Drosophila melanogaster: one gene and its partners. Changing the gene in region 1 together with any one later gene gives a genetic interaction. Each region holds a gene or a part of one and is shown on either strand. Other genes may lie near its edges.

Evidence for each region.
Region 2: of if (region 1) and Sema1a, changing one enhances a phenotype caused by changing the other (phenotypic enhancement), as found in Drosophila melanogaster (one study listed by BioGRID).
Region 3: of if (region 1) and how, changing one enhances a phenotype caused by changing the other (phenotypic enhancement), as found in Drosophila melanogaster (one study listed by BioGRID).

What each region holds. Positions count from the first base shown.
Region 1 is NC_004354.4:16,780,435-16,785,474, forward strand, and holds the start of if (inflated), read right to left. Parts: upstream 3,001-5,040; 5' UTR 2,884-3,000; intron 2,112-2,883; exon of another isoform or gene 2,036-2,111; intron 641-2,035; exon of another isoform or gene 430-640; intron 1-429. Other genes in the region: mRpL22 (mitochondrial ribosomal protein L22), read left to right, coding at 3,641-3,910, 3,984-4,197, 4,312-4,529. UniProt on the Drosophila melanogaster protein: Alpha-PS2/beta-PS is a receptor for Tig, wb and Ten-m. Involved in the function and/or development of the olfactory system.
Region 2 is NT_033779.5:8,540,397-8,545,153, reverse strand, and holds the start of Sema1a (semaphorin 1a), read right to left. Parts: upstream 3,008-4,757; 5' UTR 2,942-3,007; intron 1,942-2,941; exon of another isoform or gene 1,439-1,941; intron 611-1,438; 5' UTR 1-610. Other genes in the region: CG17834 (uncharacterized protein), read right to left, coding at 3,918-4,696. UniProt on the Drosophila melanogaster protein: Involved in growth cone guidance through its role in axonal repulsion. Function in neurons is essential for adult survival, motor neuron survival, and is important for climbing behavior and activity.
Region 3 is NT_033777.3:22,040,583-22,045,197, forward strand, and holds the start of how (held out wings), read left to right. Parts: upstream 1-1,608; 5' UTR 1,609-1,773; intron 1,774-2,324; 5' UTR 2,325-2,481; coding exon 2,482-2,797; intron 2,798-4,615. UniProt on the Drosophila melanogaster protein: RNA-binding protein involved in muscle development and dosage compensation. Vital role in steroid regulation of muscle development and to control heart rate.

The DNA of each region.
Region 1 (5,040 bases):
CTATCTCAACGTCTGCGATCTTCCTCTCTCATTCGCACCCACTCGCCCGCTCTCTCTCTCTCTCTCGCTTAACATCATAATCAAGATCTGTTGGCCTTGGGAATCGCGGAGTGGGCGGGGTGGTTAGGGCTGGTCGGATATCTAATGTCTGAAGTCGGATGTCGGGCCAATTACGAGTATCTTTATTACACGGTTCAGTTTCTTTTCAAATTATTCGTTACTATTAAACTGTCAATGCCAAAAAATCAATAAAATGCATGTCATCCGATAATTTGAACTTATTTTTATCGATTATTATTATATTATTAGGTTTTAATTATATTTCTTTGCATGTAAGGTTGTTTATATTATATTTTTATATTTAGTAGCTTTTGTTTTCATTAAAACGGTTTCTTGTTAATTTTTTAACAAATCACTTTAGGTTCTCACTTCTTTTTATTATTTATTTTATTTTATTTTTTTTTTGTTTAAATGATTTCAATCATCTCCTTTTCACTGCAGCAAAATGCTAGGGTATCAGTCGGGTCGTTCATATATTGTTGTCTAATTCTAAAATCTGATTTGTTGTTTTTAGACATTTTTGACGGTTTCATGTTTGCTTTTGGATTTTTTTCTTTTTGCTGCATGCTTAGATTTTGGCGCGTTCTACGCTCAGCATCGCGATGATGGTGATGGTGACGTAATGGGCCGTCAAACAGGTTGGCCAAAATAACAAAATAACGGCCAAAAAGCCATTAGACTTTTAGCCAGATTGAAAGCCAGCCAGCCAGCCCTTCCCACACAACTTTAGTTTAAATTGAAGATAACTTTCAAGGAAAAGTTGAAAATGCAATTGGTATCGAACGATTCAAAATATTATTTCAGTTGCAAGTACTTGAAGAAATCAAGACCTTAAGTAAGTATTTGAGCTGGATATTTTTTGCAGTGTACGTAGGTTTCTGTGGCGGAAAAGAATCCCACAAGTTGTAGGCGGTTTTGTGCAGGTGACATTTGACACATTTTCCACTTTTTATGCCCAGTTTTTCCGCCGAGTGTGGGCGATTCGAGTTCATTGATGGGCGGCTGCCATTCATAGACAAGAAAATGAATTATAATTAAGCGAGAGAGAGGAAAAAAAAACAACCTAAAAATTCGCTGTAGAACGCGCCATATGGTGTACACCATTTAACATTCAACAAATTGATCATGCGGCTGGCATTCAAAATGACTGGCGAATGTGTCAATATAAATAAGACAGTTAATTTCGTGGCCCACAAATTGCAGGCTAAAAATTGAAATGCGTTGCCAGGCGAACACAATTGTTAACTGAAAGTTGCTAAATTTGCATAAATAACTTCCTAAGCGTGCAATTTGCATTTAAATGCAAAAGCTGGCGAAAGTTTCTAAAAATATTTCTTCGTTTCCCATTTATTTGATCATCATTTGAACTTGTAACTACTAATTAACGAAATAACCTTCAGTTTTGAAGTAAAAGGTTTGAGACCCTTTTTGAACACTTCTCTTCTTTTTTTTGCACATCAATTGAATATATTTGGCAACAGTCACTACTGGAATTGCCATACAATCTTGCCCAGATGGTTAAGATATGAATACGAAAAAAAAACACATCAAAATAGTGGAAAAAACGATCATTGTCTAAAAATAAATCTAAAAAGTTGGAAGCTGTGTGCTACGCCCAGCAGAGTCCGCCTATATCTAGGTATATATGCACATGTATATATAGACGTGCATATACAGATCGAATTCTACACTGCACAAAATGTCGGAGGTGCAAACACAGCTGCGACATTAGTTTATTGATTTTGGCTTTTGTGTTTGTGTTTTTTTGTCAGATTTTGTTTAATATGCGTATATTTTGGGAATTTATTTGGTCGGTGCACTTTTCACTGGTGCTGCAACACTGGAAAAAAATGTTTCAAGCAATTTGTTGGCGCGTCGCGTGTTGTGCTGTTAATAAGTAAAGTTCACTTTCAATTGGTATTGTTTGTATTATTTATATTTTGATTTGCTATTTGACATTTGGTGTTTGCTCTACCTCGGCAGCGAACGCAGCAAGATTTAAACGACGACTAATGGCGCACAGTATCTGTAAGATACATCTTAGCACCGCCAGAGATACATGGGTGAACTGCTCGTGCCAGATCGCCTACTCAATACCCAACCAATGTAGTCTCTAGTTTTTAGACTCGGGAGAGCGATCTCGGAACAAACGCAAAGCTCTCAAACAACCAAAACGATAGCAAAAGTTTTATTTTTTCATTATCTACACATGTATGTAGCGAGCATCCCACTCGAAAAAAATTTCAAAGGTGAGTTTCGTGTGGGAAGTCTGTAATTTCCGTTAGCAAAAGTTTCGACCATTTGATGTGTCATTTTGTTGGGCCATATGTACATATGGAAGAACGTTTATTTCGAAAATGGAATCACATATAAATTTATGATTTTTATGTTCATATACACAAGCTTATATCCATTCGGAAATTAAAAAAATGTATATATTTTTTAAAATTCGAAAAAGGTAAATACACTTTTTTCAAAGTTTTAACTAAATGAGCTTTGAAATCTATAAGTTTTAATTGCACGATATGCAACATTTTCGCATGTGCGTTGGTGCAAATTAATTCTGCCTCGAAAATGAGAACGCTGCAGTGAAAATGGGTTTTCCCATTTATCCAGATGGTTTAGATTCGCAATCACGAGATCTCGGAATGTAGTGCAATTCGACTATACGAGCAAATTCGCCGGCTAACCGAGGCAGAGCAAACTGGCAATGCAAATTAATGAAAACAAACAATGAGCCCTCGAAACTCCGGTAAACATTTTCGATGGCTGGATATATGTATCAGATAACACGCAAATATAAATGTTTCGCCGTTCAATTACCATCGATTGCATTTGCATACGCGAATTTGAATCAAAACTGGCGCCCGTTGAATTTCCGTTTCGAACGCGAGCGCTCCGCACTTTACACCAGGCAACTTTCGCTTCACGCCACCGAATGCAGCACTCAGATGGCTAGCAATTCCTCAGATACAATTTCAAATTTCACGCAGGGATGCCAGATCGTTGGGCGATTCAAAAGTGAGCGCGACGCGCTGTTGAGAACGATCAACTTAAGTGTATAATATTGAACTAGAATAGTTACATAGTGCATAAGGAATATTTATGTCTTTCAATTTTAATATACTTTAAAGATGGTCAATTCCAAATGGGTACTTTAATTGTTAGGTTTCATATTTTTATGAAAATGTGTATTAATTGCTAATTTGTGTGGAGATAAATGTTTCCGTTTCAATGCATTATTTTAATGGCTTCTAAATGTGAATTGCTGATATGCTCTTATTTAAGTTAATAATTTTATGTCGTACCAACTTGCTTTTACAAGTTTTTTTTTAAATCTAATAAATAAATATATTTTCAAGCAATATCGATAGCGCTGCCAGATGTTTACATATCCTAATCAAACGCTGCCATACCGCTCGCAGATCAGCCGCTTGTGCGGTACGTTTTAGGTCCACGGCATACCTGCTGCCATTGGTCACACTGGCAGATTACGCGATTATTTTTTTTACGGAAAGTCTGCGTTTTCCCTTCCGGATTGAATTGCCTGGATTTGCTGTGATAACTCAAGCAAGCTAAGATGCACAAGGTGATCCGGCAAATGTCCCAGCTGCGCCTGCAGGCGCCACAGGGAGCAGCGCTCCTCCGATCGGCGGATAGCAGCTCAATATCACCAGCCATATCACCAGTTTCACCACCTGCCCTCCAGTCGAAATCCCTGCACACGGCCGCTTCCGCCGGAATGCTGTGCGCCAAGTGGAACAAGTACAACTACGGACCCCGCAAATGGCTGGAGTACAACAAGACCGTGCATCCGCCGCAGGAAACGGACGAGGAGCCCAGAAATGCTGTAAGATACATATTTCGAACGCACTGCTGTTACCCCTCCAGCTGCAATCCTCTAATCCACTTGCATTGCACAGTATGTCTGCCACATGCGCAGCAACATCAAATACAGTCCGGACAAGATGTGGTACATCGCTGCCTTTGTTCGCGGAATGTCCGTCGACGAGGCGCTGAAGCAGCTGAACTTTGTGCTCAAAAAGGGGGCCACCGATGTGAAGGAGACCATACTGGAGGCCCAGCAAATAGCCGTGGAGCGGCATAACGTGGAGTACAAGAGCAATCTGTGGATAGGTGAGCCGCAGGGGCACAAGGAATCTATGTATCCACTATGAATGATGGATTATCATTAGTTTCTTCATCACTAACCATTATATTGATGAATCTTTGTCTGTTCTTACCTACCAGCCGAATCCTTCGTGGGCAAGGGACGCGTCTTCAAGGGCGTGAGGCGGCATGCTCGCGGTCGCTTCGGCAAAGTGGAGTACAAGCACTGCCACTACTTCGTGCGCCTGGAGGAGGGCGAGCCGCCGCAGCACTACTACCAGGAGCCGCAGACGCCGGAGCAGCAGTACGAGAGCTGGATGGAGCAGATGCGAAGCCGGAAGATCATCAACTCGCTGTAGCCACCTGAATTGGCACTCGTATGCAATCGATCCGCACTCCTGCAGTCCTCCATCGCCATCGCGTCCACGCGCATTAAGCATTTTTTTTGGTTTTAGAAGATTGTTTAATAAAATAGAAACAGACAAAAGAACTATGTCAGAGGTTCATATTGTTCTTATTTTTACTTAGAGGAGTTTATTTTATTTAGTTTTGCGCGTATATACACAATGGATATTATTGGTTTTCTCTCTGGATGCCCGAGAGTTTCGGAACTCTAGTTGAAGTCAGGGAATGTTTGCAACTGTAAGCTTAAAGTAAATAAACTAATTCGCTCCAGGCGAATACTACTAATAATAGCTTACTAATTTATGCAAATTAATGCAATTTCGGATGTTTCTGAACGCAAATCCTAAGTATTTACTGATAAATTAGTTGTTTCTCTTTTAGAAGTTGTGGTTTAAATTAAAGTAGTCATTCAATTGTTAGCCTCTTGACCAGACCTTCTCACTCCCGTCCCTTTGAATGGCCTTT
Region 2 (4,757 bases), on another chromosome or scaffold:
TTACGCAATTGATTAGTCCCAGCGAGTCCTGTTTATCGTTTGTTTGCTGACATTGATCGATTGATTGGGCTGTTGTTGTTGTTGTGGTTGTTCTGATAGCTCGATTATCGATTCGCACACACAGACTGGTGAATTGGAATTTTTTGATTCGCACCGATCGCTTGTCGTACTTAAACAAATTATAGACACTTACACGAGACAACACCGAAGAACACAAATTTGTTATATTTACTTTATACGCAGATTAATGCCAGCGGACGACGATGAATAATAGGATAACAGCAAGAACAACAACAACGATGCACGACGACGACGACGACAAATATTGTACATATGTACAGAGGATACAAGGACTCACGCACACAGATGCAGACGCAGATGCACGGGCGCGATAACGGTTATATCGGATATATGAATAGACGAAACGACGAACGGGGGGGCGGGGCGGTGCGGTGCAGGAGTCGAATTAACGCGACGGCGATTATCCCTTAACGGTACCGGTTCTTCATGCGATAAGTAGGCTACGGATGCGATTTCTGAGCATATTTTCTTGGTTTATTCTTTTTCTTTATTCAAATTTGCCTTATTCACTTTGTTTCTGGCTTAAATACTGTGGAAATGGGAGAAGGAAAACTGGATTAGATTTCAGTTTCCCAATCAAAAGTTATGGCCGCAGGAAGAGCTTATCTTGAACACAAATATCTGGCATGTAGGGCTTTTTGAATTAAAATTAATATTTGCTACGATATGAAACACGATTTGATGAAGAAATGATCAAGAAATATCAATTGAAACACTTTGTAATTCAACTTTTTTCCTGATAAATTTCTTATTATGACAACAGTACTTTAGTTTTCTTTTTTTGGTTGGCAACGCGCTGCGGAGAGATGCGAATGGGGGGCACAAGGCAGAGTCGAAAAACATTATGCGGGGGGTGCGTGAGTTTGAGGAAGAAGAATAAGAGAGTGCTGCTCTCTCCCACTCTTACTCTCACTCTCTCTGAGTCAATTTGAAACGCCGCGAGAATGAAATGCAGCGAAACGAATGGTGCACAAAACGTGGCCAGGAAAATAGAGAAATAAACAAAATATAAAAAGGATAATCCCAAAGAGAGAGGGAGGGTGGGTTAGCGAGAGCCAGGACCGTTTCATTCCCAAAACGTACCCAAAACAGAATACAAAAGCCTGGCTCTCCTTTCAACTCTCTCGCCCTCTTGCTCACACCCGCAGGATGGCGAAAAATCAATGAAAAATATGTGGAAAAATTGCCGAAATTGTATATTTTTGTGGATTCGCTCTGCTGCGGCCTAAACTTTGGGTGGAAACACAGTTTTCGTTATTTTCTTTTTCTAATGTGCCATAATATTCCAATTTTGTTGTGATTGCCAATTGCAATTGGGCAATTTTCGGCTTTATTATTGTTGCACACAAACACTCACACTAGCTCTCGATTGCACATGTTTCTAAATTGAGCAATTACCAATTTATTAATTAATGTACACAATGGACAAATCACTTTTCACAATTGCGCGACACAAAGGTAGCGGTGCTGGAATTTGTTTATCAACGCGAAAGAAACATTTATATCCTTGTCGAATATCCGGAAATTAACAAGAAAATATCTTGAAAAATAATATTTTACAAGAAACCAAATTTCGTTTTATGCAGCGTTTCTACCGGCGATTTATCCAATATTTTTGTTTATTTATTAATGCTGTTTTCAGATATTTTCCAACCGGAGCAACAACGCGCTGCAGCAGCGCGGGCGTTAAATTTTCGAATGAAAAGGGAACTCGCACGAAAGAGAGTTCAGTCTCAAATGGCACTTTCTCTGGCGCTAGGGCATTTTCCGCGCGTTAGTGCGTTTTCCAGCGCTGACTGCGAAGTCGCGAACGGTCACTTTTTCGGTTCTCTTTTTCTCTCTCCTCTCTTCTCTTAACAGCTGGTCAACAAACAATATGCAAATTAAAAAAAAAAACAATAAGGATAATTATTTTATTGACCTAAATATTAAACTAAGAGCGTGCTACTAAAAATTTATATAAAAATTGCAGGCCATAACACCATGTTATTTATATTACCGAATTTTATTGGAAAAAATGTTGTCTATGGCAAATTGAAAACATTAAAAAATATTAATAAATTTTTATCTAAAATTACTCAAACGATAAAATGCTTGAGCTCTTTTATTTGTTCACGCAAAATTGGAAAACACATACACGGTTAAGTTTCTTATTTCATAAACATATTAGTTTCTTGTGTCCTTTAGAAGGAACACGCTTAAAGAGAAATTTTAAAATGAGAGGCTCTCTTCAATAAGCCCTCTCCTCTCACTATTTCCTTTTCGTTGACTGAAACTCCCCCTCAATATAATCGGCCGCTTTAAACTCTTATTCTCCCTCGCGATACTTAAAATAATTAATTTAGTTATTCAAAAAAAATCAAGAATATTTTGAAAATTATGGAAAATACATAGTTTCAATTCAAATAGAAAATAGAAATAATGTTTGAAATTTCCGTCGTTCCGCTCTCAGTGGGCGCGGGTGAGACTGCGCCTGTCAAGGGCGTTTGTGTACGAATTTTGAATATCAACAATCTGAGGGCACGTGTAGAAAAAAATTTTTAAAAATTATATATTAGGAGAACACTTCTATAATCAGAAACCATATTTAGTCACCAAAAATAGTTCTTCTCGAATAATAAATACGTTTGGTACCTGGTACCTAATTGAAACCTGGCAGCTCTACACTCTTTTCCTATTAGGTTCTCTCTTAAAACGCGCTCTCTGTTTTGCCGGCCGTTTATATGTATTGCTTTATTTATAATTTACAATTTAACCAATTCACTTGGACACGCTTCTTATTCATATTTGTTTAATTCACAACTTAATAAATTATTAGGGCACTCTACGAAATATATTGTTTATGTTTTTATATGAGCACCTTGCAAATAAAACAACTAGAATGTTTTGTTGTACAAACAACACACACGCCAATACGAATGAAAACTGGTCGACTAGCGTTGCCATTGGGAATTTCTACAGCCAGTGCTACCATATTGGGTGGTAAGCTAAATGGGTCCGGCTTACAGTTACCCCTTAACAAAACTTATATACCCGTTGAAATGTGTTTCATTATATATCACTTCCAGGATGACCTAATTAAATATACATGTTTGACGTTTTTTTAAGCTATATGGTGCAATTTTTTATTTTAATTTGTTGGTCTGAAACATGTATTGCATTACTTAAATTTTGAAATTAAAAAATTAAAAAATTAAATTAATAAATTAAAACAATCAACAAAAAGTAATTTTTACATCTCTCCCCGACGGGGAATTGAACCCCGGTCTCCCGCGTGACAGGCGGGGATACTAACCACTATACTATCGAGGATGTTGTCTACCCACTGTCAAACAACCGTCTCGAGCTTGCACACTGTCTTCAGAGTACAAATGGGGAACAGATGAAATTGAAACAAGCATTCACACTCCGCAAACGGAAAACCCGAGTTTGACTCACTTTGTATAACATCCTCGATAGTATAGTGGTTAGTATCCCCGCCTGTCACGCGGGAGACCGGGGTTCAATTCCCCGTCGGGGAGATAAGTGCATTTTTTTTCAAGCTCGCATTTATTTCTTTTAAAATGGTACAAATAGATATCGTTTAGATTTTTATAAAGATTTATTAAGTAGGATCTTTAATCGCTGTTTTTTGTGGTAAAATACAATTTATTTTGTAATATCAATCATTAATTCAAAATGAAGTACATCTGAATACTGAGGAATTGTTTGGACAAGGTCATTGCTTAGAAGATAATACAGAAAACGCATAAGCAGGTACTAAAGGCTAATAAATTTAAAACATTAAAAACATGGACAAAGTGATTAACAAATAAATATGTATATCTGCAGTGCGACTAGTCAACCTGCTTGCCCTCGTCGCGATTTCGTTTGAAGGACACGGAATGAATAAGTAAGGGCGGTAGATTGCCACGCAGCATCTGGAGTCGTTTGCTCTTCTCCTTCTCTGGCCGTCGCAGTTCGTCCTTGGAGGACCCGGGCGAGGCAGAGGACGAGGCCATCGATGGCGACATGGAGGCCAGTGAACTGGCGCCGGGCAGCACCTCAGAGCTCTGGGTCAATAGCATGGCAGATCGACGGAAGTAGCGCGGCATGGAGTAATCATCCTGTGTGGCCCGAGCAGCATTCGCCGTTTGAATGGAATAGAGACTCTGCGATACCCGGTACTTCTCAATAGTGGGCGTGTCCTCGTAGTTCTTAGGCAGATTACTGAACGATATCGATGGCACCTCCGGCGTCATGCTGATCTGACTGCTTCCGGTCATCGTACCGCTAATGGAGAATATATCCGTCTCACTGGCCGACGAACGGACATTCATGTGCGGAACGCTCTTGGCGGATCGCAGGATCCGTTTGGGCGTGGTCGTCAGTCCACTGGGGTTGGCCAGCAGATGAGGATGCCGGTCGATGAGGCGAGGTCGCAGCACCACCTCCTCCATGATCTCCTCCTCCTCATCGGCCTTGTCGTCCTCCTTCTCCTCCTCGGCAATGGCCTCGAACTTTTTGGGAGTAAGTGTCGTTTGGCTACCCGACGGCGAGCATTCGGCCGAACTGGGAGCCAGGGTGAAGGTGATTCGCTTCTCGGTCGATCCTGTTCTCGCATCAGTGGCATCTCCTGCAAAAAGAAGATATACTCCGTTTAAAAAGTGTTCTGCATTTGCAAGTAACTAAACCCA
Region 3 (4,615 bases), on another chromosome or scaffold:
GAAAGGGCTTTGGTCTGTGGCCCAGAGATTTAAATCGGATATCCATCCATAGGCATACAATGTCTCAATCGCCACGCACATTGACACATTTTTCAATGGCACTAAAACTGTATAATGGGGCCGTACAACGCATTTAATGTCGGCCCACACACACAGGCCAATTCCGATCGGTTTGAGCCAAGTGCACACAAATTTGGTGGGACTTGTGGCCGGACTGTGAAACTTGGCCAGGTGAGGTCCGGTGGTGGGAGTCTGCTTTCCAATGGAACGACCAATCCGATGTCCATCCACAACTTTGGCCACAACTTTAAACTTTCACGTCTCATTTTGGTGTATGCTGGTTTCAAAAATCGGATCTTGCCCCATGCCTGCCGTTGGCTAGATGTGCCGCCCCAGAAATTTTGGGTTCCGATGGGGAAGACTGTTGCAATGAAGTGATCCTCATACATATATGTATATCAAAATATTGTTGAAGACACAGGCAACACACAATAAGTTCACCGATCCACTGGCATTAAGTGTTGTAATAGTGGAAGGACCTAAATGTGAACAGAACACGAGTAAAATTTTAGAATAAAAGTAGCTTTGTAGACTTAAAAGATTGTTTTATTTTGATACACTTTATCGATAATTAATTATTTTTAGTACGCAATATCTTAATACTGCGTTGAATTTTTGTGAAATTCGCCAACCACACGGAAGCCAGCGAAAAATGTCTTTCGCGATGGAAAGTAAAAGTTGTCGCCGGCCTAGGGTCGCTTATATGGTGCGTCCATCGAAACGCTCGCGAATGCCAATTTTCCCACATACATTTCGCGTTTTGCAGCAGAGTTAACCAAGTTAACACCAACATTTGGCCAGTACGAGTTCGGGGGCTCATTTGCATGGTGTTTTGGACTTGGGGCCCAGATGCCAGCCCCCGCATATGTCCGGCGAAACAAAATGCCGCTTGGTTCTAATCTGCCAGCAATTTCCGTGCGCAATTAATGCCTCCACAGCGCAGTGTCTTAATTAATTCAAAATCAACGCCAACGCGCCAAATTGTGGCCCACCCAGCTACCAGGTGGCAACGCTGAATGTTGTTAGTCAATTAATGCATTAACTAGCCTCCATTTGGAAGAATATTAATGGCCCACCTTTGTATTTAGTTGCTATTAACTTATTTGGCCATTTATTAACTTTTATACTCGCACTTTTGGCTAAAATATGTGTAATATGTTAACCAGCTGCGCAACTCTGTTTGTGCGGAGTGGCAACGCTGATGGGTGATCTCGCATGCTGGCAGTAGGGTGCGAGAGAGCCAAGTCAGAGAGAAACTGACGTCACAAGATGGGTATTGGCGTATTTTTTATGGAAATGGTTATGCAAATATTGACTAAACGTCACCGAGTAGTTAAAAGCACTGATATATTAGAAATTAGTTAATTTAGATCAAAAATACCCCCAAATATATAACCAAATATTGGCTTTTAAATATTTATTAAAAGCAATCGCACTTTGTGACGTCACTGGGCGAGAGAGCAGAGAAACGAGAGCACATTGAAACCACCACCCCACGATCGAACTGGCATGATCTCACACTTACAACGTTTTGTGCTCTTCGCTTCGCATTCAGTTTCTTTTTCTCTTTCTTTGCGCACGGTTCAGTGGTAGGAAAATTAGGAGGAATCGTTCAGTAAAGTCCCGAGATCCGTTCGCTATTCCCCGACTCGAATAAAATCCATATACACATATATCAAATAAACAAAGGATAGGAGTCCTCAGAGAAGAAAAGTGTGTTTAAAAAAAATACTTTCCAAACAAAACGAAATGAATAAAATCCAAAGCCATCCAGTAGCAACAACAAATACATAATCAGCAACTGTGCATATTTCTGCGAGTTTTCTTGCATTTTTAAATCGGTTAAGTGGCCTTGTGCACTCGGTACATCTCCAGGCAAAGGAATTTATACCTTTGTATCTTCAAAACGTAGAAATTTGAATATAAAATTTATTTAAATACTTTTTTGTTGTACTTGCTGTTGCAGCAGCCAAATGAGCGAGGGTGAGAGAGAGAGGCAGCTATTTTGACATTCTGCTTTCATTCATCTCCGTCGCATATACAGTTTTACTGTTTATTGTCCGTGTGTGAGTGAGCGATCGCCGAGGAATTTTCTGCCTTCGCTTTCGACTTGCTGCGCTCTCTCGCTCTCTCAGTATCTCTCGCCCTGCATTGTTGTTGCTGCCGATCGGAAAAAATACTTTTGGGCGGAGTTGTTTTCATTTCGTTTTCCGTTTTTAATATCGCTCGCGTACGAAACTTAATGAATTTCCCAACTCCCACAGTAACGTGTTAAAAGTAGCAAAAACAAATAAAAAAGAAGTGTGCACCAAGTAAAGAAAGCAGAGACCCAAGGAAAGTTGAAAGTTGAAAACCAGAATCTCGTCGAGAACAAAACAAAAAGTTCCCAAAAACCCACACATCACACACGCACGCAACAAAATGAGTGTCTGTGAGAGCAAAGCCGTTGTGCAACAGCAACTGCAGCAGCACTTGCAGCAACAGGCAGCCGCAGCAGTTGTTGCGGTCGCGCAACAGCAGCAGGCTCAAGCCCAAGCCCAGGCTCAGGCTCAGGCACAGCAGCAGCAACAGGCGCCGCAGGTGGTGGTCCCCATGACCCCGCAGCACTTGACCCCACAGCAGCAGCAGCAGAGCACACAGAGCATCGCCGACTATCTGGCCCAGTTGCTCAAGGACCGCAAGCAACTGGCCGCCTTCCCCAACGTCTTCACCCACGTCGAACGCCTGCTGGACGAAGGTAAGTCGCTAAAACTCAAACCGAGTGAGATCCCTCCAAGTCACAGCATCATCCTAATCCCGGATCCAAGACTCAGCGGAAGGATAACGATCACTAGCTAGCCTTTTCTGAATCAAACGATAAACCCAGTTACTGTTTGTTATTGTGATAATATCCTTTTATTCATCAAACACTTTACAGTACCATTAGGAAATTGTTATATATAATAAATGTGATGAAATGTGGTGAAAGAAGAAATTTGGATATTCTTGTTATAATGTTCAGATATTTAACTCTAGAATGTATTAGAACTTTGTGTTTGTATTCCAAAAATTCATGAAAAGAACATTAAACTATTGTAGTATACAAATCGATGCCATTACAGTTTGGTTTATATCTTTTTTAATTGTTCAAAAAATATTTGCAAAGCACTTTAATTCCGAGAATCTGGCGGGATTTATTGTAAACATGTATTACAGAGACTGTAGGTATTTAGAACACATTTGGGTAAATGGGAGAGTTTAAATGAGTATATATGTTATTTTAAAGTGGTGACTTCATTTTCAATCGTGTGTGCCAGGCGTGTTAATGATTAGGGTGCCTCTAACCAAGTGATCACTGTAGTTCAATCAGTTTTGGGGCATGGATCTCTGGGTGTCTGGTTTGTCTCCTCGGCGTCTCCTTTTCGGCATCTTCTCCATCGCGGGTTCTGAGTTCATTCCACCTTACAAACCGAAACGAGATGTTTGTTATTTTTAGTTACTTCCTTTTTGTGCGCCTCTTCGCGGAGCGCACACTACTTACACCTCTCTCCGGGCTCTCTCCTTTTGTATTCTTGGCTCCACACTTGACTGCCAGTGCAGCCTTTGTTGTTCTCATTATGAATTCTTTGTTGACTCGGCCATTCGTAAACCAAAAAGGAGGGAGGCTTGGATTTTGAGAGACGCAGAAGGAGATGCGAAACCCCAGGGGGGGAACCCCCAACAAAGATAGAAACATTAATGTGGTGTGGTATTATGTGATAAGAGATCATTTTATTCACAAGCATGTATGAATTTATACATATGCTAAAAGTTTTAAAATTTTCGAATCTGGAATATTATTGGATCCATTTAATGATCTGCTTTGCTCTGTGCACTGAACGTGTAGCAAACTTATCTGAAAGAGGAAAAATGTACCTCAACTGCCCACGCTTTGCCTCGAAAACCAAAAAAATCAAAAAAAAAGAAAATATGAATAAATATACGGCAACGAAGCAAAAACTCTTAAAGGCAAGCCAACAAAAGTCAACTTTCGGGGCGGGATAGGGGCGGTATAGGGGCAGGGGCGTGGCACTACCTGGTCGCATCTTGTATCTTGTATCTGGCATATCGGAGCTCTCGTTTCTGTATTTGCCCAACATCTGTTGCCCATATGCAGGCCGGCCAAGAGGGTGTGTGTCGCCTCGTAATGACAAAATTATGTTGCACAGATACACAGATTCAGATACTGGTGCGGTATTTGCGGATTGCAAGGTACCGCTAGATGGCCAGAGTACACTTATTATGTACAGCGTATGTTTGGATTACTTTAATATACGTTTTTTTTTACCATATTGCTTAATCAATTTGTTTATAATTGCTACTACAATTTAAATTACATTTAATTATTGCAATTAAACTTGAAATGTGATAGCAAATGGTCTGTATAATAAGATGCAAGATCTTGATTTCTCTCTTCATTTGGAAAATATCCAAGAAGTCGGTGGTCTTATCTAGACCAATCAGATTATTGATTACCAGGTACCAGGAGGTATCGCACTGTCGGAAAACTCGCCCAAAAGCTTATATTCTTGTTTTG